2 linked regions of the Lytechinus pictus genome follow. The protein of the gene in region 2 purifies or fractionates together with the protein of the main gene of each other region. This does not show direct contact. Links are inferred from orthologs where the notes say so. Each region holds a gene or a part of one and is shown on either strand. Other genes may lie near its edges.

The links.
Region 1: the proteins of nucleoporin Nup43-like (region 2) and nuclear pore complex protein Nup133-like purify together in Homo sapiens (affinity purification with mass spectrometry; 5 studies listed by BioGRID and IntAct, counting the BioPlex papers as one, with this or other methods). This does not show direct contact. The link is inferred for Lytechinus pictus from reciprocal best matches to the Homo sapiens genes NUP43 and NUP133.

The regions. Positions count from the first base shown.
Region 1 is NC_087251.1:11,267,708-11,284,155, reverse strand, and holds the start of nuclear pore complex protein Nup133-like, read right to left. Parts: upstream 7,140-16,448; coding exon 7,037-7,139; intron 1-7,036. UniProt on the Homo sapiens protein: Involved in poly(A)+ RNA transport. Involved in nephrogenesis.
Region 2 is NC_087258.1:19,774,797-19,791,591, forward strand, and holds the start of nucleoporin Nup43-like, read left to right. Parts: upstream 1-8,641; 5' UTR 8,642-8,716; coding exon 8,717-8,833; intron 8,834-10,882; coding exon 10,883-11,065; intron 11,066-11,879; coding exon 11,880-11,957; intron 11,958-12,114; coding exon 12,115-12,277; intron 12,278-13,103; coding exon 13,104-13,239; intron 13,240-13,738; coding exon 13,739-13,890; intron 13,891-15,220; coding exon 15,221-15,358; intron 15,359-16,282; coding exon 16,283-16,524; 3' UTR 16,525-16,795. UniProt on the Homo sapiens protein: Component of the Nup107-160 subcomplex of the nuclear pore complex (NPC). The Nup107-160 subcomplex is required for the assembly of a functional NPC.

The sequences.
Region 1 (16,448 bases), on a different chromosome or scaffold from region 2:
AGAAATAAAACGAGAGAAAGGAAAGAAGGAAGAAAGAAAAGGTATAAGGATAGATGGAAGGAAGGAAAAAAAAAAAAAAAAAGATAAAATGAAAGACAGAAAGAAATGAAGGAAGAAATGAAGGAAAGAGATGAAGGAAGGCAGAACGAAAAAATAAGGAAGAAAAGAAAGGATGGATGGAAAAAAAAAAGATCAAAAGAACGAAAGACAAAAAAAGAAAATCAGAAAGAAAAAAGGAAAGAAAGAAAAATAGAGAGAAAAAAAAATGAGGGGAAGAGAAAGGAAGAAAGGAAAAAAAGGAACGAAGAAAAAAAGAAAGAAAGGAAGAAACGAAGAGAAAAAGAAAAGGTTAAGGACTGATGGAAGGAAGGAAAAGAGAAAGAAAGAAAACGAGAGAAAGGAAAGAAGGAAGAAAGAAAAGGTATAAGGATAGATGGAAGGAAGGAAAAAAGAAAGAAAGAAAAGAAAGATAGAACGAAAGACAGAAAGAAATGAAGGAAGGAATGAAGGAAGGCAGAAAGAAAAAATAAGGAAGAAAAGAAAGGATGGATGGAAAAAAGAAAGATCAAAAGAACGAAAGACAGATATAAAGAAAATCAGAAAGAAAGAAAGGAATGAAGGAAAGAAATAAAGAAAGAAAGAATGAAAGGAATGAAGAAAGTTAGGAAGAAAAAAAGACAGGAAGAAAAGGTAAAGAATGGATGGACGGAAGGAAGACAGTAAGAAAGAATGAAAGGAAGGGGAAAAAGAAGGAAGGATTAAAGAAAGTGGTAAACAAAGGTTGGATCAATGGAAGGAAGAAAGATAAAAAGATAGAAAGAAAAGAATGACAAAAAGAAAGACAGCTATAGTAACAGAAAAAATTAACAAAAGAAGGAAGGAAATTTAAAGAAATAAAGAGAGATCCAAAAGGAAAGATTGAAAAGAAAAGAAGGAGAGATAGGCAGAAAGAAAGAAAATAGAGAGGAAGAAAGCTCAAACTATCCAGTCATAAATAAAGAAGAAAATTTATCAATTTCCTTGGCTAAAAAAAAACAGTTACGAAAGAAACCACGTTTATCAACATACACACAATGCATATGTGGGACTGTCAAAACAATGTATTTCTGTGTGTGCGATACAGACGATCATTCGAAACCCAATCTTTTTGAAGCATAACAGAAGTGAAAATCCTCCTTTTACTGCTTACAAATGACAGAGCTACCCCAATTTTTAGGAAATATGGACATTACATGAATTTTTTTATTGGTAAGAAATGTGAATTTGACAGTTCTGTAGGAGATTTCTTCCAGAGCAAACTTCGTTCGTGCAGCATCGTACTCCGTAGAAACTACATGCATGTGCATCGGCTGCGTGGACTAGGCGCTAGCTAGCTAGGTATGCTAGACTGTCATTGATTCTGTGTGTGTGTGTACGTCTCTGAGCTGTGTGTTAATTGCAGAAAATGGCGCAAATTTTGCAATTCGAATCATGATCGGTCAACAATTAAAGAAGAAGCATTTTGTGTGACTGACGACAGACGACGGACCGCCACGCCACAAAACTTAAGACTTTTTGAAAGAAGAAAATTAATGATATTGCCTTTTTTGTGTCTCTTTTTCTTTTCTATATTTTGATGGTGAAACATGGGGAATCTTTCTAAGTAAAATATAATTTCCATAGGAGAATTTTGCTTGCCCGATTCGGGCAATCAGTTTTTGACTTTGCTTCAAAACACTTGCCCGACTCTAACTTTTACTTGCCCCGGGCAATCGGGCAAGCGCTTATGTCGCACCCTGCACCAATTTAAAGCATACATTCTACCCTTTCATAAGATGCAAAATTTGACTTTATTCTTTTAATATTTGAAAAGAAGTACAAGTATGCATTTCAGAAACTGCTAATTTTTACAAAAACAGGGGATTTAGGTCACTTCATAAAATCATGCTAACCATGTGCCTTTTTCAAAATACTTTTTATACATAATTATTCACAACTAAAATGTGATGCAAATAATTATCATTTGTTAAATAATAAATTGAGTATAAAATTGTGTTACAAACAGTGCCTCATAACGGTAGTTCACCGTCCTTACATCAATGGGAAGCGAGTTCTGCCAATTGTGTTATAAAGCGTGGGAACATTTAGTAGCTGCAATTAAGAGATAGGTCTGTCTGGTAAGAAACCTTTTAATTTCATCTTTTGTTATTGATATTTTCTAAATCCTTTATATGGATTAAAGTGGAATACAGTACAAGGTTAATTCTATTTTTCCCAAAATTAATGTGGTACATGTAAATATGGATTTTCAAGGGAAATCCGTCATTGTTTACCATGTACGACATGCAGGTCTGTAGCCCCAGTGTCTAGGCTCTGTGATGAAAAGACAAATATGATAAAAATATCATCAGAGTCCTCTAGGCTAAATGCGCCCCCGCATCGTACTTATGACATGCACTGTGCACATCCAGATCTAGACCGATATATAGGTCTATTTCTGTCAGGGATATGCTCCGCTAAGACTTTGTCTGGCTACACGGTATCCCCTTCGTCAATCGACCAATGACGGCCATTGGGCTCGTAATGGTGGAGGTTCGACCAACGCTTAGCTACAGCATCAATGGAGAAAGGGGAGCGCAAGATTCGATTACTACTTAATTCACCCTTTTGATGGGCGAAAAGGGGCGCAATAATAAAGAGAAAATAATAGTGTATATAATCAGCTTACCACCTTTCCAAAATATATACTGGAATGTACTAAATTTAAAAACATTCAAGATCTTTATGATATTTATCGGCCGATGCAAGTATTTTACGATTCATGATATTTATCGGCCGATGCAAGTATTTTTTGGGCACTGCTCATGATATTATCGCCCTCTATACGCGTCTTATAGCTAGGCTATAACAAAGATGGCAAGATGGCGACAATAACAGACTGTGAGTAAACGCTCCTCTACTTTAAATATTTTCAATTTTTTGATAATAAATATTATTTTACAATATGACCCTTTAGTTTAAAAAAGGGTCTAAATTGTATTGTAGCCCATTTACATAAGTTTGGGCTCAAAACCCTTAAGAAAACAAGTATTTTGGCAACAACTTTGTTGTTGCCAAAATACTTGGTGCGCATAGAGCAATGGCATCCCATCCCTGGCTCCGTGGAGATTAAGCACGTCAGTGATATGACATTAATCTCCAGGAACCTCCTGGCTAAGCTTGACTCCATCACTCAGGAACAGTACCCTCTTCCATCAGATTCGTAAAGATTATCTTAAATGATGTACTAGTTATCTCCTTATAAACTTCTCTTAATACTCTGGAGCTGATTCCATCTGGGCCAGGAGACTTATTAATGTCCAAGCTTGGACAGTATCTCTTCTATGTCTTGTTCCCTGAATTCAATCTCTGTCAGCTCTGTCCGAGTCTTCTTCTGAATACTTGGTATTGAAGTCAGATCCTCTTCATAATCATTATAGTTTTTTAATGTTATAATTTGTATTTTCCCCTTTTATGTTCAATGTTTATATCTGGTATTCAGTATTTATTACATCATGTATTTTACAATATCATATATATATTCAGTTTCCAGATTCTGTAAAGGTGGCAGCGCTAATAAGGCTTTCCCTTTCTAGTTGCCTCCTCATTCATTTATAAATCATGTACAATCTTTTCTTTTAATTCAACTGTTTCCCAGATTTTATCATTGTAATATTTGCAATTTTCCCATGTAATTTATGTAAACTTTGTATGTACCTTGTATTTGTTTTTATGATGAATGGAATAAATGCTATCAAATAAAAAAAAGAAGTTATTATTGTTGTCTCAATAAAAACAATATTATTATTGTCTCATTATCATTATTGTCTCATTATTATCATTGTTGTCTCAATAATTATTTTAATTATGATTGATAACCGTCATGATCAGATCTATAACGTCCATGCGCAGTGAGTCACCATGTGCAATTTTTTATTGTTGCGCCACTCACCTGTCACTTTCTGACCAAAATGGTTCTAGAAATTATTTGCAATGTTGAAAAGTGTCTTGTGGCATCTGACATTAATCCTCAGTAATTCCCTGAAATGCTGCAACGTTTGGTTAAAAGATCCAGCAAAAGAAACAGGAGTTTAGCGCAGTCTAGGCCTGGGACTTTCGGGTATTTTTGTCTTCGGGTACCCGTGGTAATTTTCGGGCGGGTACCCGAAAATCATGTCGCATGAAATATGACTGGTGGAAAAACCCCATAGGTGACGTCATCCAGCCACTGCGCCGCAAGCAAACTTATGAATGAAAATATAGTAAGCATGCGCAGTGCAAGCCTCCCGTGCCCCACGCATTATTCCATCAAAACAAGTCTGCAATACTTTGTCACTTCGTACCAAAATCGACCTAGAATTCTACTTTCCTATATTTCATATTATTTATGAAATATTTTCTCAGAGGATCTGTTTTCTCACCGATACCACACAGGTAAGCAAATTTTGATTACTTCTTGCTTTTCCGTCAAAATCTTACGAAGTAGCGTCGATATTACATCGTGTTCGTGAGTTTGTAGAATCTATCGCTACATGCACAGAGTCAATTGATTTCCGGGTAGTTTTGGAGCGCCGAATGCGCCAGCCAATCACGATCGTGTTACCATAAGGTATATCGTTAATCAGAACCGCAATGCATCATGGGATCGAAAAGGGGGCCGTTAGCAAGCTCTGCGCACGTGCAGAGCTAGCTAACGGTCCCCTTTTCGATCCCATGATGCATTGCAATTCTGATTAGCGATAAACCTTATTTCCAGTTTATGATGAACTGAAAATAGTAACACGAACGTGGTTGGCTGGCGCTTCGTATGCTCAAGCTGCAAAAGAAACATGGCGACGATCGAACGATCTCAGTCACATCATCACTTGAAAAACTTGTATATTTATGGATATTTCGAGGGTAATTGGTGAGATTCAAAATGAGACTTGTGTACTTTTGTGATGAGTTACAATCATGTCTTACACTACGCAATACAAATCAAATACTGGTAAGCAATTTTCGGGTATTGATTTTTCTACCCGGGTACCCGAGGCTTCCGGGCGAGACCCGGGTACTCGGGTTTTAGTCCTAGCCCTAGCGCAGTCAAAGTCAGACTTGCAAACTGGATCCGTACGGTGCGAATTTTAGCTGCCATTTTTCTCGGGCGACGATTTGGGTAAGAATTTTTTTTGGTGCAAAATTGAAGGTTGAAGATCGCCGATTATTGCCAATGGCGACTCACTGCGCATGGACGTTAGGTTAGATCTAGTCTAACTTAATTCTAAATATTCATAAATTTTTTGTTGTAGGTATGTTGCAAAAGCGCCCTACCTCTAGGTGCATTCTGAATGCGGCATTGAGTGTGCTGCCTATAATCTCAGGGTGACTGGGGGGGGGGGGCATTGCTTTGTATTGTGTTTGCATGTGCAAGAAAAGGTTATTCCCAATGACATTATTGTTTTTACGTAGTTGAATGTTTATGGCAGCTGTCTAGACTTGAACAAAAATCTCACTCGGTGATCTTGCAGCTCTGTGTGCTACTGGAACTTTGGCCTTGCTTTCAACCTCTTGCTATTCAATTACAGGTATCATCCCACTCTAACAGGTATTCATTCCGATAGAACAACATTTCAACTACATTGTGGTGAAATTTGAAAGAAATCTGCTGACGCTAAGTGTGTTTTTTATGTCCCTGTTTCGGCGATGTCTGTAATTTTTGGGAGTGTTGTTGGGCACTTCCATTTGCCAATGTATGCGCATTGTTGTTTTCTATTATATTAGTGCACCTTGGTCCCAATTAAGATCACAACTTTTGTTTTTAAAAACAAATTGAAGAGTCGATTTGTGCGAACTTAAAACTACCATAACTTTCTTGTTACTGGGGCTCTTGAAATGAATGAGGTATTAAATGAAAGTTCTTGATCAGCTCTAAATGATGCTATGAAGCAAACACCTCATTTCTCTTCTTTTTTTTTTTTTTTTTTTTGCAACATACCTATAGGCCTAGGTGAATTTGTTGTCTCACTTCAGACTCAGCTCAGCCTCAGTCAAAGACAAGTCAAAGAAAGTGTCTCACTAACATTATTTTAATTAGGGTGTCTGAAGCCACACTGAAAAGTGTCAGCATAAAACAGGCTAATTTAGGGGAAAATATGGCACATTTTGGGGGGGAAGTTCAGGCTACTAGAAAAATGTGATCTGAATTGATTATTAACTTGTGTTTGGCATGTATGGAAAGAGAAAATTCAGGGGCTTCTTTTGATAGTAAGGACAAGTTTATATGATCATTTTAAATAAGGATATTTAGAGATAAATTGCAAACCCTTATTTTTGTGTGTGTTGAGATTGCCATTTCTCCATGCGTTTTCTATGGGAAAATGAAATTTCTGTTTTGCACGATTTGTTTCACTTTGTCCCAATTTTTCATTGTGATCTGGTTTCCAAATCTTTATAAAAATCATACCATCAGATAGAGCATAAAAAATCCTATTGGACTCACTATGGACAAGTTTTTGGCATTAATAATAAACTTATAACAGCTCTCGGAAGCTAAAAATTTGGATTTGTGTGTGTCCATTTCTTAACTACACAGTCTATGGCAGAGAAATGCTGAAAACTTACCCAATTTCATTCTTCTTTTTTGCAGCCAATAATTGGATTTTTTTCAAAAATGTTACATTTCTGTCAGTCTGAAGGTCATTTCTCTTCAAATTCACAAAGAAAATGTGATATTTTCTTGAAATAAGAAAAATAATTTTTTCTCCAGACACCCTATTTTAATATGGTTGTCTCAATAATTATTAATCATAATTAGTATTATTAAAATTATAATTATTATAATAACAATTATTATTATCGTTGTCTCAGTTATTATACTTATCAATCTAACGTTAATCAAGATCCAGACCTCACGTTCCGATAAGGTTTTAATGAAAACCGGTAGGCCTACACAGATTTCAATAGATGGTACCGTACAACACATTCACTTGTATTGCACTTTGTATTGACGAATTAAACAAAAATAAAAATTAACACTTACGATCAGCTTGTAAAAGTACTTCTGTTATTAGGACAGGAAGCGATGGTCCAAACGTTTCAACACAGTACTGCGGTGTTTCTTCAATAACTTGAAAGCTCTGCATGATTGGCGTCGATTCCCTGACCAGTCCCAGTTTCCAATTTCACCAAATTACCCGCGTCGCCGCCGCGTGAATATGCGAGGGATATAGATCACATACGAATTATGTCATTCACAAATTGTCTTATATATTTTCCTTTATCCGAAATAAATCCCAAGTTGTATCGATCCAAGGGGGAGGGATATCCCCCTAATTAAAAGGGGCATTACCTGCTTAATCATCTCCCAATAATGCACGGTAGAACATTTATGATGGTAGTGATTATTATCGTATATAACAATCAATTTCTTTTTTCTTGTAATGTTTATAGGGCTCATATTGTATATTTTTTTCAATGATTAGGCCTATCATCAATATCATATTCATAACAACAACATCAATGATGAAAAGTAGCATTAACAATGATAATGATACTGAAAGGGAAAGGTGTATATAATATTCAAATCATGTTAAAATTTATCACAAAATTAGATTTTTTTTTTTATTAAGAGGTCAAATATTTTGCTTGCTGGCTTGAAAATAAAAATGTCCCATAGGCCATGTCTAGCCCCGGCTCAAAATTGTTAGCTCATCACATCGATCACAAACTCCCCTCTCTGAACTTAAAAAAATACATTAAAGAGAACGATGATGTAATGAGCCAAAGATTTTAAGGAGGCCAGATACAGATTAATATAGGCCTACGGTAAAATTCATTGTGATCGAGCAAAAATTTCGACATTTTTGTTACAAAAATCCTATTTTGTGATAGATTTTGACATAATAGTCGGGTAGATTTGATCAACATTATTGTATGACCGTCAAGTTGGGTATGACTGCGATTTTTTTGCTTGAAGTTGTAGTATGGGGCCCGGTATGGGGTGTCTACTTCAAGAATCCGACGGGTGCCACCTGGGAACCCTTGGGCATTTTTTTGTTATTGACGTCATAGGCCACGCCCACTTTTTCACATACCTCTTAAATATGAATTTCATATTTTAAGGAATAAACATGTTTGGTATAAAAAATTAAAGCTAATGAAAAATCAAATGTAACATTTATGGATCATTGGACAATTAGATCACGCATAGGTCAGTTAAAGGTCATTTAAGGTCTTAACAGGTCAAATTGCCTTGCAAATGTAAGAAGTACATATAATGTGGAATATATTATGTTTTAAATACAATCAAGTTGGATATTATGTGAATCTATTGGCAAAGGTTAAGTTGAGGGTGTGCATATCAAGAATCCGACCGGTGCTACTTTGGCATCTTGAGGAATTTTAAGTTTGTGACGTCATAAACCACACCAGCTTTCTTACATTCCTCTCAGCGGAATAAACATCATGTTTGATATAAAATTAAATCAAATTCAAAATAAAATCCACATATATATGAATGACTAGGCATTTAAAACTTTTCCAGGACAATTAAAGGTCATTTTAAGGTTATAAAAGGTCAAACTGGGCCACAAACGTAATAAATGCAACATATAATGTGGAATATCTCATGTTTGGTTGAGGGTGTGTATATTAAGGATGTGACGAGTTCTACCTGCTCACCCTTTGGCAATTTTTATATCTGACGTCACGAACCACGCCCACTTTTCACATATATATGGCCTATGAGTAATTATCATGATTATGACAGAAAGTGACACTTTATAGAATAAACCTAACGTGTTTGCTAACTAATTTAAGCTTATGGCAAGTAAAATGCAATTATAAAAGTTAAAAGAGATTAAATACAAGACAAGATCACCAAAAGTGCAGTAATGTTTAGGTAGGTCAAATGATGTCAGGCAATGTAACAAGAGTTTAATAAAAACATGTAACATAAGCTTGGCATCGTATCACCAATTTTCCTACATGAAATAAAACTGCACAGTGTTTTTTTTTAGTTTATAATCAAGGACAGAATCATATACAGTAACAGTAAATAATGTATAACACACAATTTCCAGTTTAAGATCAATCGTGTTGGAGACACCTCAGAAAATGACTTCTTCAACACAAATTCACATTTTAGACAAGTATCCAATTGGACAAATTTGACATTTTACATCCTCCTAACTCCACTATCATGTTGTTCTCTCATTCATCTTCCAGACTGATTTCCCCCTCTTTAGTCTCAACTGCATGTTCAGTTTTCCTTGTGTTTAGAATGACACAATGTTATTTACATACGATCTGTACGATACACGATAAGAGGCAAATGCTTACCCTAGAGCATGGTGGCCCCGATTTAAATCCACATGGAACAAGTTCTGATAATTATTCCTTGGGAGTAACTAATGTGCTATGAACAGGTACAGGAGTGTTCTCCTAACTTATACTTCCCATCGATGCATGGGAGGCAATTTGCAGGGGAGTAATTCTGATCAGTTGCTCTCCTGATCAAGCTCCTGAGGAAGAGCACCTTTGATAATCATGCTCTTTTGCTGACTTGTCAGTTGGGGGTAGGCCTATGATCTTTGAAGCATCTGCCTTCTTGCTAAATCATGTGAATTATATTAGAGAGACCATTACATTTGTTATATTAGTAAAGCAAGATGAAGAGTATGAATATTACACATTTAATTCATCCAGTCCACTTCTTCAGCATCGGACTCTATATATTAAGATATTATTCGAGCAGCAAGTTTAAAGTGGAAAACTTTCCCTTGCCAAATTGACACAACATTGTATTACAACCTGATAGGGAATCGTGCAAGGCTAGTATTTTCCTCTAAACTTCAATGCAATACCTTTAATGCCAATTACTTTTCCATCAGTATGCAAAAGACTTGCAAGCCCAAAATGAGAAGACTGGTAGAACAGAAAGGTTAGTGTCGTCAGAGAATTTTTTTACATGCATCTATTGCCATTACATCTTCAGAAGATAGTGGAACAGGGCATTGGACCTTCCGTACTTGTTCATGACACAGTGGTTGTTCCCAAGGAATTAAAAGAACCTCCTTGTCGATACAAGTCAGCGTCACCCTGTTCTACAACTTTTAAAGATTAATGCAGTTGCTGGTCGGCCGTCGAATCACGTATTTCATAGTTCATACTGCAAGTGTGAATCAAAGTAACACATATCTGGCAGAGGCATGTAGTTGAGGTTGTTGGTGAAGGGGAATCATAATGAGCATCCGGTCGAAGAATTATGGTACAGAGGGTAGTTGTGAGAGGAATATAACAGGACATTGTGTAAGATGTTAAATTGGTGTAGATTATTTGGAATCCCATGGAATGATTTGATACAAAATGATAAATTAAACGTTTTGTATAAGTCCTGTGAAAGTCGAGCAATCATCAACATTTCATGCGTGTAAATGACTTAAAGGGCACCTTTACATGTGCTTCATTTTTTGGGTAACCTTTATGTACATTCCATTTTCAATAAGCTTTAATTTGATACCAAACATGATATTTTCATTTTGTACGCTAGATATTAAAATATATCATCAGACAATGACGTTGCCCAAGGTTGCCAAAGCAGCCGAGCTTCGTCAGATTCTTAATCTGCACATCCTCAACATAACTTTCAGCCAAAAATAGACCTACATAAATAATGCCTAACTTGTTTGTATTCCAAACATGATATATTCCACATTATTTGCTGCATTACTTACATTTGTGAGCCAATTTGACCTTTTATGACCTTAAATGACCTTTAATTGCCCTGGGCACGTTTTAAATGGGTAGCAATTCATATTATGTGGATTTTATTTTGCATTTTATTTAATGTTATTTCAAACATAATATGTTTATTCCGTTAAATAGAAAAGTCATATTAAAGAGGAATGTAACTGAAAGTTTGTGTGGTTTATGACGTCAGAAAAATAAAATTCCTCAAGATGCCAAGGAAGCATCCATCGGATTCTTAATATTCACACTCTCAAACTTAACCTTTGCAAAAAAAATGCATATAATACCTAACTTGTTTATATTTAAATCATGGTATGTTCCGCATTACATGTCTTACTTATATTTGTAAGGCAATTTGACAATTTATGACCTTAAGCGACCTATAACTGACCTATGCGTGATTTAAATACACAGTAATCCATATATTTGCATTTGATTTTTCATAAACTTTAATTTGATACCAAACATGACATGTTAATTCCGTAAAATATGAAAATGATATATAAGAGGTATGTGAAAAAGTGGGCGTGGCCTATGACGTCAATAAAAAAAAAATGCCCAAGGGTGCCCAGGTGGCACCCGTCGGATTCTTGGAGTAGACACTCTATACTACAACTTCCAGCAAAAAAAATCGTAGCCATACCCAACTTGACGGTTATGTTGGGGTGTTACTTGACTAAAGCGTTGAAGTTCTGAAATTTCACCTTCACCTGGTCTAATTCAAGTGATTTTTCTGATATTGTATCTCTTGATTACGAAGAAAACAGAGTACACAATGGTTAAGCGCTTCAGGCTCACGCGAAGCTTGGAATTCTCTGTGATTTATATTTAAAAAAAACCCAACAAACCGAACAGTATATATATATATAATTTTGCTCATAATGGTGCTTCCAATTCAAAATTTAAAATTACGTGAATTGAGGGCGCAAACAAGACAGGGGATGGTGTACAGGGATATAGAATAAAGTTTCATCGCATATATTATTTTTGTATGTAGCATGCATGGTATAAATTTAATGCCTGCCCCTACGAGCAGATACCTGCCAAAAATTGCTTGCTAAATAGAGGAAGAAATAGCATATGGGGAGTGACGGTGTTTACCCGCTCCGATCGGTAGCGCGGAAATCAAATAGCCATAATTATCTTTACCTCACAAATCATCAATTTGAAATAAATAAGATAACTTTTCATACTTTACACACCCGCTTCTACGTAATTCTGTACGCGAATGTATACTTTTATACTGTACGGTAAAATAACTGGGGAGGGGAAAACGGGGTAGAAAAGGGGTGTAATTAAGAACAGGGAAAGACAATTTTGTAATTTTACCAGAGCGCGTAAGCAAAACTTTTTTTGTATGAATTAAGAGAGAGAATACGTCTCGTTCAGGTTTTTATTCTTTTGAGAAAAAAAAATAAAGAAGAAAACCAATAAAGCTAAACCCTTATTATTTTTTCTCCCTTCACATTTTTTACCTTTTCACCCCTTTTCCTTTTTTTTGGGGGGGGGGGATTTTTAAGGGGGTTTGGGTGACCGCCCACACCGCCCCCCGGCTACTCCCCTGAATTTAGATTTTGAGGGTAACAGCAAAATAAAAAAATAAAAAAATTGATACAGCCTTCCCTGAGAAGTGATAGCTTTTAAAGTAAACTGTCGATGCATAACAATATCCAAAGACCGAGTCTATCGATGGGAAAATGTTACAAATTCCCTACTGCTTTTGTACATCGTATGACATTTTTTTTTTTTGGGGGGGGGGTCAAATTACTTATTGGAACCAGGCATGAAATATTGAATATCGTCATGTATTGTAACTTACTCTGTTACGACGGAGAGCTTGAATCACCAAAGAAGTGAATTGTCATGTGGAACAGATTCAAACTGATAGACAAGTGGAATGCCTCTGGCGGTCTCACCTGCATCAGCAGTGCTGACTTTAAAAAACACAATTTAAATAATTATTCACAAAAAACACCATTCATATAATGATACAATACTACGTTCATTGACATTGGACCTTGATCATGTGACCTAAAACTTGTCAGTGATACATGATTACCCCTATATCCACATGTTATACACTATATCTATAAACTTTGAAAGTAATGACAGCAATCTAATAATTACCTCTAAAATGGCCAAAGTTCAATGACCTTAAATGACCTTTGACTTTGGTCATGTGACCTGAAACTCGCATGAGATGTTCAGTGATACTTGACTACTCTTATGTCCAAGTTTTATGAACTAGACCAATATACTTACAGAGTTATGATGGCAATTCAACAAATATCCCCAACATGGCCAATATCCATTGACCTTTGACCTTGGTCATGTGACCTGAAACTCGCACAGGATGTTCAGTGATACTTGATTACTCTTATATCCAAGTTTCATGAGTCAGATCCATAAACTTTCAAAGTTATGATGGTAATTCAACAGATACCCCCTTTACGGCCAAAGTTCATTGACCTTTGACCTTGGTCATGTGACCTGAAATGCACACAGGATGTTCAGTGATACTTGATTACTCTTATGTCCAAGTTTTATGAACTAGACCAATATACTTTCAAAGTTATGATGGTAATTCAACAAATACCCCCAATTTGGCCAAAGTTCATTGACCCTATATGACCGTTGACCTTAATCATGTGACCTGAAACTTGCACAGGATATTCAGTGATACTTGATTACTCTTATGTCCAGGTTTTATGAACTAGACCAATATACTTTCAAAGTTATGATGGTAATTCAACAAATACCCCCAATTTGGCCAAAGTTCATTGAACTTTGACCTTGGTCATGTGACCTGAAATGCACACAGGATGTTCAGTGATACTTGATTACTCTTATGTCCAAGTTTTATGAACTAGACCAATATACTTTCAAAGTTATGATGGTAATTCAACAAATACCCCAATTTGGCCAAAGTTCATTGACCCTATATGACCGTTGACCTTAATCATGTGACCTGAAACTTGCACAGGATGTTCAGTGATACTTGATTACTCTTATGTCCAGGTTTTATGAACTAGACCAATATACTTTCAAAGTTATGATGGTAATTCAACAAATACCCCCAATTTGGCCAAAGTTCATTGAACTTTGACCTTGGTCATGTGACCTGAAATGCACACAGGATGTTCAGTGATACTTGATTACTATTATGTCCAAGTTTCAGGAATCAGATCCATAAACTTTCAAAGTTATGATGGTAATTCAACAGATACCCCCAATTTGGCCAAAGTTCATTGACCCTAAATGACCTTTGACCTTGGTCATGTGACGTGAAACTCATGCAGGATGTTCAGTAATACTTGATTAACCTTATGTCCAAGTGTCATGAACCAGGTCCATACACTTTATAAGTTATGATGTCATTTCAAAAACTTAACCTTCGGTTAAGATTTGGTGTTGACGCCGCCACCGCCGTCGGAAAAGCGGAGCCAATAGTCTCACTCTGCTATGCAGGTGAGACAAAAACTATATTTATTTATTTATTCAGTCATCTATTTATTTATATATTTATTCATTTATCTATTTATTGATTTTCTTTATTTGATACTGCAGGGTAGGCCTGTTTAGGTATGCAAAACTGCTTTCCAAAGGCGCCTAGCTGCAGTTTAACAAATAACTCAACATCATAACAATTCAATGTATGTAACATAATAAAGTAAAAACAGCATACATTATATAGATAGAGTGAATCAACAATTATCATGGAATCATTACATCAACATCAAGTTATTCAATTTAATTACATGTATGACAGTCAGAATTTTTATGATTTACAGTGTTTTTTTAATAATGGAGGGACGTGCATTTTTGTATATCACAACGGAGCGAATTAAATAAGACGGCAGCAACATATTCAAAAGATTTTCTTTTATAATGGTATTTGAAGGGGACGTTGTTTAGAATATCGTGTTTTATAAGTTACATTACGTTTGCAGATAAGTGGTCCCAGATAGGCTGTGGCTAAATCGTTTTGTATTTTGAAAGCAAGAACATAATATTGATATTTGATACGTTCCTCCACGTTTCTCGTGCTAGATTCAGATAGTCATCATTAATCCATGGTACACCTCTTTGCTTAAGACGCACTGATATAAATGGGGCATGTCTATCACAAATTTCCAACAGAGTACTTCTGATTAAAACTCCATAATTTTTCTACATCCTGACCAGATGAATAAAATTAATTCCGGTCAATTTTGCTCATATCTTCTTTAAATGTGTGTAAAAATAAAAATGTTTGAACTTGCGAAATTTGCTTATCTTTGGAGAGAGAGGTTGATATTTACCTTTAATGACAGTAAATATTACGTATCAACAAGTGATTGTTAGGCATAACTCTCGTGGGTTCAGATATACTCGGGGCATATATTTTTAAAAACTTTTTTTGACAGATTATTCAACCGAGCTTTACCATTGACCATGTTGACCGTTCCTTAGGGATAAAGACGATCGTTATTTATAATGAAGGGGGGGGGGGGGAGGGAGCCCCCCTAAAAAACAAAAAATCTGGAGGTAATAAAATCTTATTGAATGACAACAAATGCATTAACAAGTCGGTTTTTTCGCTCAATGAATTTGATATCGTTTATTACTTCAATACGTGGATTATTTAAGATAATACATTAATACAAGCCAAACTTGTATCATGTTTCCATGATGATATGACTATCATATTAGATATTATTGAGTAAAATATGTTACTCAAATAGATACAGAAATATGACAGTAACGGTATCACATGAAGCCCCATGAGTTTCCATCTATTTGTTGTCCACCCCCCCCCCCCCCATTTTTAAAAACCAGTTCTGCGGCCCCTTCAAAATACCATATGCCAACCTACAGTTTAGGTTACACCATTTTTCTTTGTCAAGACATTTCTTTACCCTTATTGATGTATATTCACTGCTTGTATACATGCATGCATGTCAAACAGTGTTCGCTTTCGAATTTGTATAAGGTCCATGGTAAAATACACCTACTGCATGCTCCGGTTGTGATTATTGATTCATGCGGATAGAAAAAATAATAGCAATGGAAAACATGAATTCAAATATGAAGTGGGGAAAAATCCTGTCTTAAAGAACAGACATGAAGGAAATCACACCGAACTTCTTCGATAGTGGAATGATCAAAGTTTAAAACTAATTATCATCTTGTTTAACTTTCACTTTGTACCTGAACTCTGGCCATTTTCTCTCGTCAATTTTGACTTTAGAAACATACTGACGTATAGTATATGCCTGCGATAAGTCAAACATTATTGTAAAATACAGTCAAATGGATTGCTGCCATGGAAACACCACTCCACAATGAATCTCGTCCCAATCCCAGTACCTTTAATAATACCCTCACCCCATCACATCTACCATGTCTACGGTGTGCTTAAACCACTTTTATCAGCCGGTGGAGTATCATGATTATAACATATAAACTTGGGTATTCCAAGAGGCACCGAGTGCATAGTTCACACAGCTAATATAACCTTAGACCAATTTCAACCGACGACAACAACGACAAGAACTGTTGAGATAAACAGATGACATCATTCTTGGGTTCTCATCAATTTGGTGGAAAGTCTGAAGTAAGCTGGGTGGGGAGGGAAATTGAATTTCAGCTTCAGTGTGGCAGTCGGTCGATGGGGAATCCAGTCACGTCGCTCTCCGCTCTCTGACATCACTGCCCTGGCA
Region 2 (16,795 bases):
ACCACAAGTTTAAGTTAAACCCGACTTCAGAATACGGGCCTATGGGTGTAATGATGGCGTTGGTGGTGGAAGTATAATGTTGACGACATAATGGTGGGCATTTAGTGACGATGATGATGATGTGGTCACGGTGGTGGTAGTAATGATGATCAATGTGTAAATCAAACGAAATAATGAAAGCTCGATGTTAAACATATTTTTTATAATTGACTTCAAAACTTAACATTTCAAGCTCCATATATCAGCCTATTGAGCAAGATATGTATCTCATATAACAGGCAATGCGAGCACGAAGCGTGAAATGTTTTAAAGTGGCATGAAAGATGTCTTCCTCTCGACCACCTTATTTTATTCACTCGTCTTCCTCTTATTTGTCCTCTTCTTTTTCTCCTCTCTTTTTTTTTATCCTTCCATAAATAGTGTGTGTGTGTGTGTGTGTGGGGGGGGGATTTGATATTGTCTCCCCCTTTCCAAAAAGTAGGGCAGGGGTTGGTGGCCAGGGGGAGCAAGAGCTAAATATTTCCCGGTCATATCATGGTATGAACAGGATTTTTTATATGATTGTGCCCCGAGCATTAGGGCGAAGCTCAATGCGTGATAAGTACCCCCCCCCCAAAAAAAAAAGAGGGGGCACAGTGTGGCGCGCGCAGCAAAAAGATGCTTAATATAAGTACCGAGCGAGCGAAGCGAGCGAGAAAAAATATCAGCTTTTCATGAGAATCAAACTTTGAGATTGATTTTGACATGGTATTCGGAAAATAACATCATAATCTTACATCTTCCTTTCCTTTCGCGGGTACATACACAACACACATTAACTTCAACGCAGCTGCGGACAATAAACTAAATATTTTGAAGCAGCACAACATAGAAAAATGTGGATACATTTGTAAAAGTCGCCAGCGAGCGAAGCGAGCCAGAAAAAATTGGCTTTTAAAAATGATTAAATTCTACTCATTTGATAGTAGCTTTGGAAATTTAGCCAAAGTAAACAGGCTTTTCACGGTAAATCTAGCCAGCGCAAAGCTTTACTTAGGTTTAGGACATAAAATCTCTTTTCCCTTTTTTTTCTTTCTCCTTTTTTTTATTTTTATCCTTCCATAAATAGTGTGTGTGTGTGTGTGTGGGGGGGGATTTGATATTGTCTCCCCCTTTCCAAAAAGTAGGGCAGGGGCGTAACAGGGGTTGGTGGCCAGGGGGAGCAAGAGCTAAATATTTCCCGGTCATATCATGGTATGAACATAATTTTTTTTATGATTGTGCCCCGAGCATTAGGGCGAAGCTCAATGCGTGATAAGTACCCCCCCCCCAAAAAAAAAAAGAGGGGGCACAGCGTGGCGCGCGCAGCAAAAAGATGCTTAATATAAGTACCGAGCGAGCGAAGCGAGCGAGAAAAAAAATCAGCTTTTCATGAGAATCAAACTTTGAGATTGATTTTGACATGGTATTCGGAAAATAACATCATAATCTTACATCTTCCTTTCCTTTTCTTTCATCTTTTCTTTTTTTGTTAGAACTTTCGGGGGTCAGTGCTATGCGGAACGGGTCCGGGGCAATGGCGGCCCCAGGATTTTTAACCTCGGGGGAGGCAAAAGAACATTTGGGGCGGGTCAACACATAAATATTTTGCCAATTTCTCAAAATCGAGCAAGAAGCGCGAACTATTATTTTTTAGTGTAGACCCTACTGACTTGAAAAGAGACCTCACCAAATAAATAATGCGAGCGCGAAGCGCGAGCTGAAAATATTTGACATCTTGAGATGATAACTGGACGTTCGATCTATAAGCACTTTTTGTAATCATGAACTGGATGGCTATCTAATTAAACTTTTAATGCGAGCGCGTAGCGCAAGCTGAATTTTTTTTTATTTATGAAAATTATGAGTAGGCAGGAAGTATATCTCGCTAAAACGAATAATGAAAACTCTAATCGCGAGAAGCATATTGACTTGAAAGTTTGATTTTAATAAGCCCCATTTCAACAGATAATTTACTTATCTCAGTCAAAAGCTACTGCGAGCGTGTATAGCGCGGGCGACATTTTGAATTTTGTATAATGACCTGAAAGATTTAGTGACATTATTGGGAGCTAACAGTGAATTGATGAGAAAATTTTCAAAATTTAAGGAACGAAAAAGCTGTTTTGGAGCACTTTACAGCTTTAGTAGGATGTTTATGACAACATTTACCATACATATTTTTATTTTTCAAAATTTCGGGGGTGGGGCCAACTCACTGGGGGCAAATGCCTTCCGTGCCTCCCTGGTGCCGCCACTGGTCTGGGCGGAGCCACCGGAACCCCGGGATATTTTTAAACATTGCAGATGGCCACTGATAATCAAATCGCGGGTACATACACAACACATATTAACTTCAACGCAGCTGGGGACAATAAACAAAATATTTTGAGGCAGCACAACATAGAAAAATGTGGATACATTTGTAAAAGTCGCCAGCGAGCGAAGCGAGCCAGAAAAAATTGGCTTTTAAAAATGATTAAATTCTACTCATTTGATAGTAGCTTTGGAAATTTAGCCTAAGTAAACAGGCTTTTCACGGTAAATCTAGCCAGCGCAAAGCTTTACTTATGTTTAGGACATAAAATCGGGGGATAACCAGCCCTTATATTGGCTAAACCTACTTTAATTGGCTAAGGATTTTTCACGGGATTGTTTGTCCTTATTGTGACCATTAGCAAGCTTATAGTTTAGTGTACTCCAACGATGTTGTAGGACTAACCATGTTCATCGATCAAAGTAGAATGTCTATTGCTGCTCTCCTTCAGACAAAATTAGATGCGCTACTGATGTTGGCAGGGAGGGGTGGCGGGGGTATCGTAGCCAGCACAAAATTCCATGAAAACACACGAGAATCGAAAATCACTCAAAATCATAGGCAATCTTCTCCCAATGCTTATCCAGTCTATTCTTAAATGCAATCACTGAACAAGCAGTAACTACATCTTCTGGGAGATGATTGTTCCACACATCTATCATTCGGTTAGCAAAGAAAAACTTACGCACATCAAGACCTTTTCTCTAGCTTTAAGGAATGACCACGTGTTTTACCACCATTTCTCAGACAGAAAAGCTCAGAACTTCTATCATAGTAACCATGCAGATATTTGTACACGTCAATCATGTCACCTCTTTTATGTCTGTCTGTGACTGAGTGATGGCAATTTCAGGAGGCGAAGACGTTCAGAGTATGATAGGTGCTTAATACCTGGGATGATCCCGACCTTTCGTTGGAAGAACGCTAACGCTTATTTACGACGTTAGTTGATTTTGGAATTGACTTTTGGGCCCGTCGTCATGGTCTTAAAACTCTGTCCTGCAATGCAAATTGTGCGACATGAGATTTTTTTTTTCGTTTCGCATCTGGAACGGAAACATTCAATTTGCGTTTCGTGTACAAAATTCTGGTTGCTACTATGGTAACAGCGATATATCCGATTTAGGACGACTTTCCAAATCCACATTTGGTTCCTCCCAGAGCTCGAAAGGCCGCCCGGGGGGCCCACTTTCATTGAAGAGTGGATACCAGGCGCAACAACGCGTGACAAGGGAAAGAGTGGGTAAGTACGTTACGTATATAGGCCTATGTAACGTTATAAAGGTGTCAAAAACGATGATTAAAATACTGATAAAAGGGATATATTTCCAATACTTGTAGGGTTTCACAAGCCAAATAATTGTTAAAAGATGCATTTTCATAATCTGGAAAAGACTTGCTTCCCTTGTTTAGGGTACTTTTCGAAACCCCATGGTCGTGCCTGGTATCCACTCATCAATGGAAGTGGTCCCCCCGGAATTTGAATCTAACCCCCCATTTCAGGGGAAAGTAAAACATAATACCCTTTACATCGTGTGCTAGAGGCGTATCGTTTGTGTAGAAGGAGTGAACAAAAGAAACAAAAGAAACCCGCATGTTCAAACGTATTGCATACGCTGTGTACATATGCGAAATGGGTTCGGCTGGAGAGGTGATCTGACCCATGGAATCAATTGCCAGTCATCCACCAATAATCCACATTAAATGCAATATCGTTTCCATGGACTGTAATGATCTACATCTAAGCCTTAATTTAGTAAGTTTTTCCTCACTTAATATGTACTCGATTTGTTTGAAACACCACTTTCTTATACATGTCATATTCTATTTTAGGTCCTGCATTTCGAATATCTCCAGCCATCAGTCGTAATACATGCATGTATGGCGCGCGGGTGTCGCGGGAAAGAATTTTGCACACGAAAAGCAGATCTGTAGGGCCTGTAACCCCCCCTGTAAAACAAATCTTAGCATTGATTGTAGAGCAGTTTTCTACGTTTGATTCTATTGACTATAATGCAGGGGCCGCGGAACCGGGGGGGGGGGGGGGCTTCAGCCAGAGGCGTCGATCATGGGGGGGGGGGCAGGGGGGGCAACCGCCCCACCAATGAAAATATTGGGGGGCAAACATATCGTTTTGCCCCCCCAATAATTCCGCATGTGCAAAAAATAAAATAAGATTGTAATGTTACACAGAAATCAGCAAGCGAGATTGAAATACACAACTCGTTCTTCATCTAAAGTCGTGCTAAAAATGTCCGGTTTTCAGATTAGAATATAAAAAAATTTCAGCTCGCGCTTCGCGCTCGCATCATTTCTGTAGCAAAAACCCATACTTTTCATGATTGAATAGGTGAATAGAATGTCCCGTTTTCAGTTCTATACCTCAAAAGAACTCCCACTTCGATTTGCAATAATCTTTTGTTGGATTTATTTCTTGTTCTTTATTAAAAACGTCAATTAAACTCTTGTTTTTTAAGATCAAAATATCAAAATTTTCAGCTCGCGCTTCGCGCTCGCATCTATTATTTTTTAATTTTTTTTACATTTAATTTGTTGGTGAGATGTGTGTGTGTGTGTGTGTATATATATATATATATATATATATATGTATATATATATATAATCTATATATATATATACATATAGGCATATGTGTGTGTGTGTTTGAGTCTGTTTTGTGTGATCGAGCGCCTTTGGAATGTTGATTCATGATTTTGCCCCCCCAATCTGAAAAATGGATCGACGCCTCTGGCTTCAGCCCCCCACTTTTTTTCCAAAACCGTGTACAAAAACGTAAAAATGACCATATGATTGTGATTTTTTAGCATGGTCAGCCCCCCCCCACTTTTGGCTCAGCCCCCCCCCCCACTTTGAAAACCGTTCCGCAGCCCCTGTAATGTACAATCAATCTTAAAAATCAAGTGTATGATTAAGCGTCAACTTTTGTGTTAGGGGACCCTAATATTAGCGTCCGTGAGCCGTGAGGATTGCGAAAGGTGGCAAATAATAGACGCCATCCCACCTTTCTTCCCGTTCTTTATATTTTTCTATCCTCGGCAACCCGGTCTTGTTATTAAGTTATTCTCTTTTTTTCTCGTCCCTTTTCTCTATATTTTGATTTTCCAATTAAGCTTTTGGTTCTACCTTCATTTCCGTTTCTTTCTGCCTCTTTCTCCAATTTTCCCGCCATTCTTGTCCGTGCCATTGAGTCATATCTTTTGATTTCATATCCCTCTCTTGGTATCATGCTATAGTGTATTAGTATTTCAGGATATTTGTACTTCCTCACGTGTTCTCCTTTCCTTTTCCCGCTTTCCTTCCATTTTCCCTCTTTATGTTCTTTCTTTCCCTTTCTTTTCATTTTTTTCCCTTTCTTTTTCACCTTTCCTCTTTTTCTGTCTTTCCTTCCCTTTCCCTTTCCCTTTCTCTCTTTCCCGGTTTTTTTTATTTTCCCGGTGAAATCCGCCGCCCCCCGCCTGTTAATTACGCCACTGTACTGAAGTAGGGGACACGCGTCCCCTTGCCCCCTATGGGATTTTCGCCCATGGAAGATGATGAGGAGGAGGAGTAGGAGAGTGATGATGGTGATAACGTTGGTGGTGATAGTGATGAGGATGATGATGATGAACACGACGAATTGATTGATTGATTGAAATATCACAGGAGATTACAATTAAATTGAAGAATACCTTGACAGGATAGCCCATGAAAGCCGAAAGGCTTATTTCCAATGGGGTCCTATAGTTAGTATAAAACATTAACATATTGTAACAAAACGTATAAACTACGACAAGTACTGGAATATGGATAAAAAAATGATAAAATACATACATATCCATCAGTCAAATAATATGCAAACATCTGAAGCAAACAACAATCTTCCTAATATATGAAACAAGATTATATTTTAACTTAACCTACATTATCTACAATACTAGAAACCAACTGTACAAAATGTGTGATTTTTACTGGTAATATACTGCTCTCGAGTAGCTTCCAGTTATGTTTATGTCATGATCTCATGGAGGTAACTCATCATGACGATGATAGGTAAGGTAGGCCTACGTGGTGTACTCATGAACATTGAATATGATGACGGCCATGTCGACAATATTCATGGCGACGAGTCCCGCGACCAGGGGCGGAAATCTCTCCCAAAAGGTAGGGGGACACAAGGGCGGATCCAGCCTTCGCCAATGGGGGGGGGGGGGGGGGGGGGGCGGGGGGCGCGCGGACATTTGTTTCAGCCATATTTTCCCCGATCGGCAGCGGAAAATTTCGAGATTTAGTCCTATAATATTTACTGAACGAGACACTCTATTCATGTTTTGTAAATCATGAAAAGGATGAGTATTAATAATGCGAGCAGAAAATTTTTATATACGTTTTGAACTGGTACCTGTTGAAAAGACTGCTTGCACTAAGCCATGAAGGCGTTACATATTTCAACAATCAAAAAGTGCGAGCGCGAAGCGCGAGCTGAAAATTTTTGAAAATTTCTAAAGAAAGAATGGAAAATTTTAATCAATTTTCGGAATCGTGAACAGGATAGCTATATAATTCAACAATTGATGCGAGCAGAAAAAAAATCGAGATTTAGACCTAAAAATGGGCCACTCTGTTCATGTTTTGTAAACAGCCATAGGCTGATCGAGGGCTTTTTAACGTGTTTAAATAAAATAAATCAATCAAAATCAATGTTTTGTAAATCATGAAAAGGATGAGTAATATAAGGGGGTCTTCCTACATTAATAATGCGAGCACAAAGCGCAAGCAGAAAAATTTTGATATTGTGATCTGAAACTGGATAATGATTTAAATAGAGAACAAGTGGAGTATTTGAATAAACATGCGCGCGCGTGTTTCATAATTTAGAACAAGAATCTAGGCATTCTAAATACATCTTTAATCATGAAAATCATGAAACATTGATATTCCGATCTGAAAAAAAAGTCAATTACAGCTTTATATTTCAAGCACTTTGTAGGAAAATTGTAAAGTGGAAATGGATCACACTTAAAAAAAAGAGCTAAAATTTTCATTATTTTTACTTTGAGTTTTGACATAGGACCGGGACAGCCTTATACGACATGTCATGAAAATGATGACTATCTTCCTATTCCTCTTGCTTAGCGCGAGATGAAACAAAAGGGACAATTTAATTATTAAATTAATATCATATTTATTGATGCCTAATGAGGGCGAGAAATCTGATGATATTATGGCATAAAAACTGGACATTTCACTTTTGTAATTATGAATAGGATGCATCAGTTAATATATTTTTAACCATTAATGCGAGCGCAAATCGCGAGCTAAAATTTTGATAAACTGAAGCAGCGAATGTTGATAACATTATTCAGACCATAAAACTGACATTTTTACAGAGCACCTTTTAAAAATCAATTTGTAAATCACACAAAATAATGAAAGTTCGATTTCCGAGGTGAAATATGTTTTGTATATTGACTTCCAAACTTGATAGTTGAGCTCCATATTAAACAAGATATGTCAATCACCTAACAGGCAATGCGAGAGCGAAGCGCGAGCGAAAATTTTATATAGTGGCACGAAAGATTCTTTTTATTTTCCAAGTCTTCCCCTCATTTTATTTTATGCACTCGTCGTCCTTCTCTTCTTTTTCTCCTCTCTTTTCCCTCCTTTTTTCCCTTTTCCTTCTTTCTTTCCCTTTTTTTCCCTTTTTTTTTCTCCGCCAATAGGGGGGGGGGGGCCTCGGCCCCCTGGATCAGCCTATGGGGACAAGGGGCGGGAAAATTTGACTAGCAAAAAAAAGGTTATCATCCCAAAAGTACTATCATCTCGTCCCAACTCGTCCCAAAATACATGTTTTATTGATCGATTTAGAATGATGTATTTCTTACTATCATAAAAGACAAAAATAGTAGGGGGGACATTTGATATTGTGTCCCCCCTACTATTTTGAGTAGGGGGGACACGTCCCCCCTGTCCCCCCTGGGATTTCCGCCCATGCCCGCGACGAGTGAAGATGCATGATCAGGATTGTGATGACATATGCTGATTTGGCTGGTGACGATTGTTGTCTAAGGTGGAGTTGCTCAGCTGGCTGGGTGCATCTTTGTGGCGGGTATCCCCGGGTATCTAGACCTATACGCCTTACGGAGACACCAATGATCGTAGAATTATGGTAATGGTACAGGGGTTAATCGATCTTTAATTCTGACTCGATCATTCTTTGATTCAGAAGGTAATTATTTCCCCCATTCCTTCCTTCCCTACTCCCCCCCGGCCCCTCAACCAGAAATCAAACCGGATGCGATGCGCGCCATCTACGTTCACACAATTACAGCGGCAGCGGAAAATCAAAATTTGATTTGAAGACTTTGTCTGAAGTGAAATAAAATGGATATTTTTGTCAAGTTTGTTTCGCAGAAAGTTGGAAAAGTCAGATGGCAGCCTTCTTCATTCAAAGGAATTCAATTCTCCGATACATTTTTAACCGGAAGTTGGGATGATGAGGTACGTGTTTTATAGCTCCTTGACGATAGATCACGAATGAAAACTTGTGAAATTCAATTGAGCTGTAACTTAGTGTGTACGGTTCAGATGCTTATTTCCGTTGCGTATGTACGCGAGACCGCTTTCGGTTGGGAGCGCCCGTCTTGCCCCCAAAAAAGAAATAATTTGCAAGTTAACTTTTGGCAATAAAGTCATTCATATGTACTCTAATTACTGGCGAATTTGCAAACTACCAATACTATGACATGATTAACGTTCATCATGTTCATAATTGTGGGCATGAAAAATTGATGATTAAAAAAACATTTATTTTATGGGTATGATAACCATGAAATATGAATTGAAAAGACAATTTTTTGGGGGTGGCCTTTTTTTTTTAGCCTGCCTTTTGGGCACTTAAGCTTTGCAGATTTAAGTTGGAGTTGGACTTCACGATCAGATTTTTCACAAGGCCAAGGGGTACCACAATAATACCTCAAAACACCCCAAATAAAAAAAAAAGAAAGATAGCAAATCATGCAGAAATGCACCCACCTCGGCTCAATCCTATAGGCTATAAGTACTATAATGATGTTTGTCCGCACAGACTCCCTATCCTCAATAAGTACTACTACTAGGCCTAGTACTAGTATTCGGCAACATGATCCTCAAAATAATAGTTGGGCTTCTTTTCTCCCATTCAAAATTGCACACAATGCACTAGACAGGAATAACCGTCGTTTCTGGGGATTTATTCAACAATTTCTGACATTTTACTGTAATCCCCATTTACCGACGGTAGGGTGTACGTGTGGGCTCGCATGTGTTCTCATTCCCTCCCTTTTGTCAATTCACAGTCCAAAGTTTGATGTAATTTTACACATCGAATTTACAATCTAAGGATGTATAACCAACAAACTTTTAAAACTTGATATTCCATTATCAAAATACTTTAAACGATATAGATGAAAAGGCATGAAAATTATACTTTACCGATGTTTAATTGGGTTGAACACGATAAAAATGGTCAAAATGGCAGCCAAACTATGAAATATTTACAAACGAACGGAGAGGGCGTCAACAATCACGAATATGATATCGATATTGCTTTCGATATTATACGATCTGCTCCATACGCGAGCGTACCGAAACACCGTTACCATCACAGGTAGCAGACGACATTCGATATATCGAGACATTAAAAAGTTAATAACAATAATGAAGTCATTCAAGATGGCAACTTGCAAGAAAAACCCTCAGCTCAGGTGAAAATGTCTTAGATGAAAGATTTCTCAATCATCCAGAGGATTTTTTTCAATAACTTCTGTCCAAGGTACGCAATTACTTAAGTTATTTATATTTCCCTGATAATTGAAACCATGAAACTGTAAATTTCGCTTAAAAACAGTTTAAAATCGCGACCTATAAAACGTTAGTTCACTTAATACGTTGGCTGTACGTACGGGCCTCCAAGCTCTTCAGTCTATGTATTGGTGAGTGGAGCCAACGTAGTTCAGCGGAACAACCAAAATACAGAGACTGAAGCTTTTGGTCTAACAATGCACAAGATGACGGACTATCGATGGGCGCATGCGCAAATTCTAACTGAAGTTGAAATTATTTAAAAGATCTGCCCACAGCAGCTCACCCATTTTTTTGCATGATTTCAGTCAATGTGACTTTAGTCTGGATATAATCAAAATTAAGGCGAATCCAAGTAATTTTGATGTAAACTGAAGTTAGCGACTAAAATCATGTGAACAAACAGTTGAGCTGCTGTGGGCAGATCTTTTCATCGCTAACTTGAGCTAGAATTCGTGTATGCTCCCATCGGGACTGGTCTGCCGTTTTGTGTGCAATTTTGAACGGGAGAGAGTGGACGCCGAGCTATTTTCTCTTTTTTCTTATCATGATATACTGTAATAAATATAACCTTTGATGTTGGATGATTGGTTTCAAATCGTCAGAAATAATCTTAGGTCTCCTATGGCCATGCCATGCAATCTTGTCTATTGTGTAAACTTTGAGAATAATTCTTTCATTTTCATCTTACAAAAAAAAAATCTGCAGGAGAATAAGATCTCACTTTGGAAGGTTCCAGGTGTCCAGAACAAAGCAGGGGCTGCAGGAGCCTGGCAACAAGACTATCCACAGCAGAGGACCACAGCCTTAGAAGGACAAGCAGGAGAAGAAGAACAGGAGCCTGTATTGCTCTGTCAGATGAAACATGATGGGGATGTCACAGATATACAGGTATAAGTTTTCTATAATTGATTGATTCATTCCTATTTTGTTTTGGATTTATCTAAGATTTAATATTGCTTCATGAAGTTCAATGAAACAAAAAATGTGAAATTAAGTTGGCATTAAAAGTTGACCATCCGTAAGACATGTATTTCACGTAGTTGAAGTTTTTTAAAAAAAAATCAGATTATGCAAGATATGTGTGAGTGCCTCCTCAAACATGAAACTCTCCTTGTTAGAGTTTTAAGCTCCTGCAAAACCTGACTTTTGTTCATGTCTATGTATGTAGGCAGGGTGACCAGAACAATAAATCACATACATGTACATGTACCATGATAAAATTTAATTATCTATTCTTGGCCTTGGGTCATGAATTCCTATGTTCATTCATATTTAATTGGTTCGCTACATGATCATAATTATAAGTAAGCACTAGATAACTGTGATTTATGCTGCATTTCGATAAATTTTTGCTAAGGCTCTTGGAGGCCCATGCTTTGCAATCAATGGTATTACCGTACTTCTCTTTTTTTTTACCCCCCTTAATCAATTTTCCCCTCTATTTTGAAATGTTACACTCGATGATCTTCCAAGAACTTTGATTTGCTGGAATTTTATAACCAATCCTGCAGTTATTTTTGAATTGCTTCATTATTTCATTTTCCAAAAAGGAATTTAGACATCTTGATGTTTTCATATTCTGATTTGTTCTACACTTATTCACTTGAACACTTTATCAATCTTGTAGCATGTCATTCTTAGGTCCATTCAGGGTAAATGTGCAAATAATTGGCATTCTTGTATTCTATTTTCATTCCTGTAGTTTGTCAACCAAGATGTTTTCTTAGCTTCTTCATCATGCGGAAGTGTTCAAGCGTTCAGGTGCAACAAAGCTAAAGGGGTAAGTCTGGGCATGGAAATACTATTAAACTATTTTGTGTAATTGCCACTTTGTCTATTTGCAAGTTTGGCTGTGCATTTATTGTCTTATTTCCACTTGGTATAATGAATGATAAGGTAAAATAATCATAAAAAATTCACCTCCTCTACCTCTTCAGGACTTTGCGCCCTCTCAGAAATGGTCCGGCATTCATCACCACCCTGCCGACACCTGTTCCTGTACCTGCATAGCCGTCAATGGAACGGACATCTCCACCTGCGGAGAGGACGGAAGGATTAACGTCCTGCGGCTGGAGCACAGACAACCGATAAGAACCATTGGTGAGCAGGGGCAGATCCAGGATTTTTCGAAAGGGGGGGGGGCACATTTTCTTGAGGAAAAATTTGACAAGCAAAAAAAAAAGAAGAAAAAAAGGGTTTTAACCAAAAGTTAAGGGTATTTTGTCCACGAAAAAAATTTGAAGAAGTTGTTTTTTGGAGGAATAAAATCAGACAAGAACACAGGTGTAAACAGACAATGTCATACCAATCAATTGAGGGGGAAGACAATAGTTCATACCCCCCTTCCTATGATCAATAGGTTCACTGCTTGAATTTACGCCGGTGGACAAGAAGATGGATGAAAATTTGAATATTAGCAGACAAACAATAAGAAAATTCTTTTTTAAAGAAGAATGAAAACCCTGGAGCAAGTTAGCTTGTTTGAAAGCAGAAAATAAATGAATAAGATCAGTGGAAGTTGGCAATAAGAAATTTATGAGCACTTGAATGTTAAGCTCACTAATGGTATGGAGATCCTCATATTGGCCATGCAAACAAGCTCTTTGATGTCATACTTGTACAACTCACCCCTTTGGACAATGAAATTATCCCCAAAACATCTCCCTTTGAGTCTCTGCTCATTCTAATGATTTGACAAACAATTCAACCATGATGAAACATCTATTACCTGTCGTCTCATTAAAAAGAATACAGTGAATATAATGATGGCCTAGATAAAAGAGAAGTGAAACATGTACTAGGGTAATGTGGAAGTTGTATGAGTGAGATATCACATATCTTGGTCACATCACCAGTTTTGCATTAAGCGGATCTTGTGAAGAGCTTATGAAATAGCCCCTTGCGTATTTTTTCTCATCATACATAGATGAAGCTGATAGCTGCAGCATCAACGCATTGACACACCTGAAACAGCATGAGGTAATAACAGTGAATTCGGCTGGGCAGCTCAAGATATGGGACTTACGGCAGCCGGGCTCACAGCCAACAAGGTTCTTTATAGTGTAAGTAACCCATCTTTTGACAATTTTTTTCATTTACCCATTCAAGTAAGCATTTACTTTCTTCCATTTTTTCACAAAATGGCATTTTTCAACACTAAAGGTACAACTGCAGGCACATACCCTTGGTTTTGGAATAGAGCATAAAACAGTCTGAACCAGGAGACTAGATTCACTGTGACTTTTTGACTCAGACATTGTACTGAATGTTTATATATATATATGTCAAATTCAATTTCGGCGCGGTCAACGGCCGACATCTCGAGGGGGAGGGGGGCCTGGCCTCGGCCATATGAACTCCCAAAATACCCTGGCCTAGATAGGGTTAATGCCACCAGAGTGCCATTTTTCATAAAACTCTTTAGTAAGTTAGGCACATTTTATTTCTTTTGATCCTTGTCCTGTAATGAGATGCAGGCAACCCAAAATATCCTTGTTTCAACATAATCACTGAACATGACACAGAATGGTAAACTGGATTATGAACTACTTTTATATGTAGATCTGGAGAGAAGGTGCCCCTTCACTGTGTAGACCGGCACCCAACCCAGCCTCATCTTGTAGCCACTGGTGGTCAGAATGGCATCCTCAACATCTGGGACATGAGAAAGGAACAGTTACCAGTCACACTCTTTGAAGTTCACCAGAGTCACGGTATGATATCCCAGCTTTTCATTGCCATAATTTTCCTGTTTCAGCTTTGATGCGAAGAATCAACCTCATAATTTCTTCTTTTTGCCTTCTGCAAAATTGACTGGATTACTGAAGCTCAGTAAGATAATGTTAGTACCATGTTATGGCAGGTCTCTTACATTGCAATAAATTGCGATATTAGATTTGTGTATTCATGTTTAACCCTAATTCTCCCGGGGGGGGGGGCCATTATGGCCCCCCCCCTCGACAATTTTCGCGATATATCTGCTGCGCAAAATTTTTTGACCTCGCCGCTCACTGACTTTTTACTTTCAAGTCTCGCGCAAATTTTGAGACCAAATTTGTGACGCCCGGGTACGCGGTTACGACATTACGCAACATTATGTAAGTGCATGTCAGACCCAAAATTGCTCATAAACGTGATTTCATGTACAAATCCAATGCAAATTGTGTATTTGGCCAAAATTCATAAATGTATCATTATTTCTACTTTTAATGATTAAACTTAATTAATTTTGCCTTGTTTATGATCAGAATTAAGTCTGGAACGATTTCCATAGAAAAAACTATAAAAAAACTAAAAGTAAAAAAACAAAGAAATACATAAGAAATTTAAAAAACAATAAAATACATAAGAAATCGGTCTTGGTACCAGAATTTTTTTCATTCACAATTGTTAGGAATGCTATAAAGAATATTTTCACCAAAAATAGCATTCTAGGAGCTTTATTTAGTGAATCAGAGCAAAAAGTATGATTTCATGAATAAATTAGCATAATTAATTCATATTAAATAAAAATATATGAATTCAGTGAAATTTACCAATGCAACTGCGTAGATTACGTCATTCTCTACCATCATGCAAATTTTCGTTGTCATCGCGCAATCCACGGCTGAGATCTTAAGGGGGGGGCCATAATGGCCCCCCCCCCCCCGGGAATGACAAGAATCAAAATACCCCGGGAAATTGAGGGTTAATAAGGCAATTGTTATAACAATTAACAATGTAATGGTCATGTAAATGCAGGAGTACTAGGTAGCTTATCATTCGAATAAAGTAATAGTTTTCTAAACATTTCTTTCCATCAATCTGTTTAGAACTTACTGTTTATGAAATAGAGGTGTTTGAAAACTAATAATTGTTCTTGCTTTTGAATAAGCAAACACCTTGGAACTGAGTGTTAGTTCTCTTTATGAAGGGGAGATACGTGTACATAACCAGAGTAATATACATGTTAAGCTTTTAGATACGTATTACACGCTATATAAAAAAGCAGAATATCATTAAAATTATTATTGATGATAATGGTACTGTTTTATTTCTTGTCAGTTTGGGATGTGAAGTTTCACCCTACAAACCCAAACAACCTGTTTACCTGCTCTGACGATGGAACGGTCCTCCACTGGGACGCCACCAAAGGTCATAGTTCAACTGGTTCTGCCTTCCGCAACATCAACACTCCTACAGGTAAAATCTTGATTAGGCAACCAGGGATTAGTGTTTTCAAGCTCTACCAAAGCATGCAATTTGCTGTCCCCAAAGATCGTGGCCCCATCTTACAAAGAGTTGCGATTGATCCAATCAGCCACAACTATGGATGGCCAGCAACGTCAACATCTAAAATGTAAATTTGTTCAAAATATTTTCTAGATATGATGTATATTCATACATTCATTGTTCTCTTGAAGATTCAGTGTGATTCTCTTTGTTTACTAAGGAGATTGTGCAAATTTCCTGTAGAAAAAATTATGGTATGGATGGATTTCCATACAGCTGGGATTGATTGGATCAATCGTAACTCTTTGTAAGACGGGGCCAAGGGGATCATTTCATGAAGGTTTTTATCACCGGCAAGTATCATGCCCTGAATCCTGCTGTAGTCATTCCTCTCCGCATAAGAACTAAAATGAATTAATGAAAGCACCTAACTTTAAAATGTCTCAACTTTCTCACTTTACATCTGATTTTGATGATATTTTCAGTGTTATGCTTGTTTGATTTTTCTCTTTTGATTATAATCAACATTTCTCTGGGGTAATAAAATAAAAAAAGATATAGTGAGTGGGTGATGTCATCAGTTCCCTCATTTACATACTGAGCAGGATGTGCATATGACTGTTTTGCGAATTTGATAGAAACTTTAAAGATTTAAGTATGAATTTCCTTGTGGTGAAATTCAGTAGTCTAGTATTATTTTGTAAACATCAGTGGTGTGAAGCCAATCACTTTTCATTAACCATTTTTTTGGTACCTTTAAATTTTATTAACTTCATATTCAAATGATGGTTTCTGGTCATAAGTCTCACTTCTTAGTTGGGCTTTGTTTTGGCAAAAGAGTATCTTTTTGAAGTATTTTGCTATTGTACCTCCTCTCCTTTTTCTATACCTTAGGACCAAACCCTTCCAGCAACCTTCTCCTTCGGGGATCGACAAGGACAGCGCCCCCTGTGGACAGCGAGACGTCCAGTCCGTGGCTGAGCAGCGAGACGACAAGCAACCAGTTGGAGATTAATCATGTCCTACCAGGAAACTGCAATCCTGTCAACTCCCTGGACGTAGAGGGCCCGCAGTTGATCTGTGGGACGGACGGTGAAGCCCTGTACTACATCCCAAACATGAACATCTATTTATAGCTTTTGATAAATCATTATGAACTGCCACTTTTTGGACTTGAAGATGAATTACATCATGGATGCCAAAAAGGAAATTGGATGGAAAGGTGTTCCAACTTTTTATACCACAGGGACTTTTGCCAAGTCAAATCTTTGGGATCAAGGAGAATGTCGACATAGAACAAGTATATTAATGTACCACATATTTTGCAGGATGGATTGATTGTGACTTAAGGAGTCATGCTTAAGAGCCAACGTGCGCATGTTATTTAAAAATGTGTAATCTGATTGA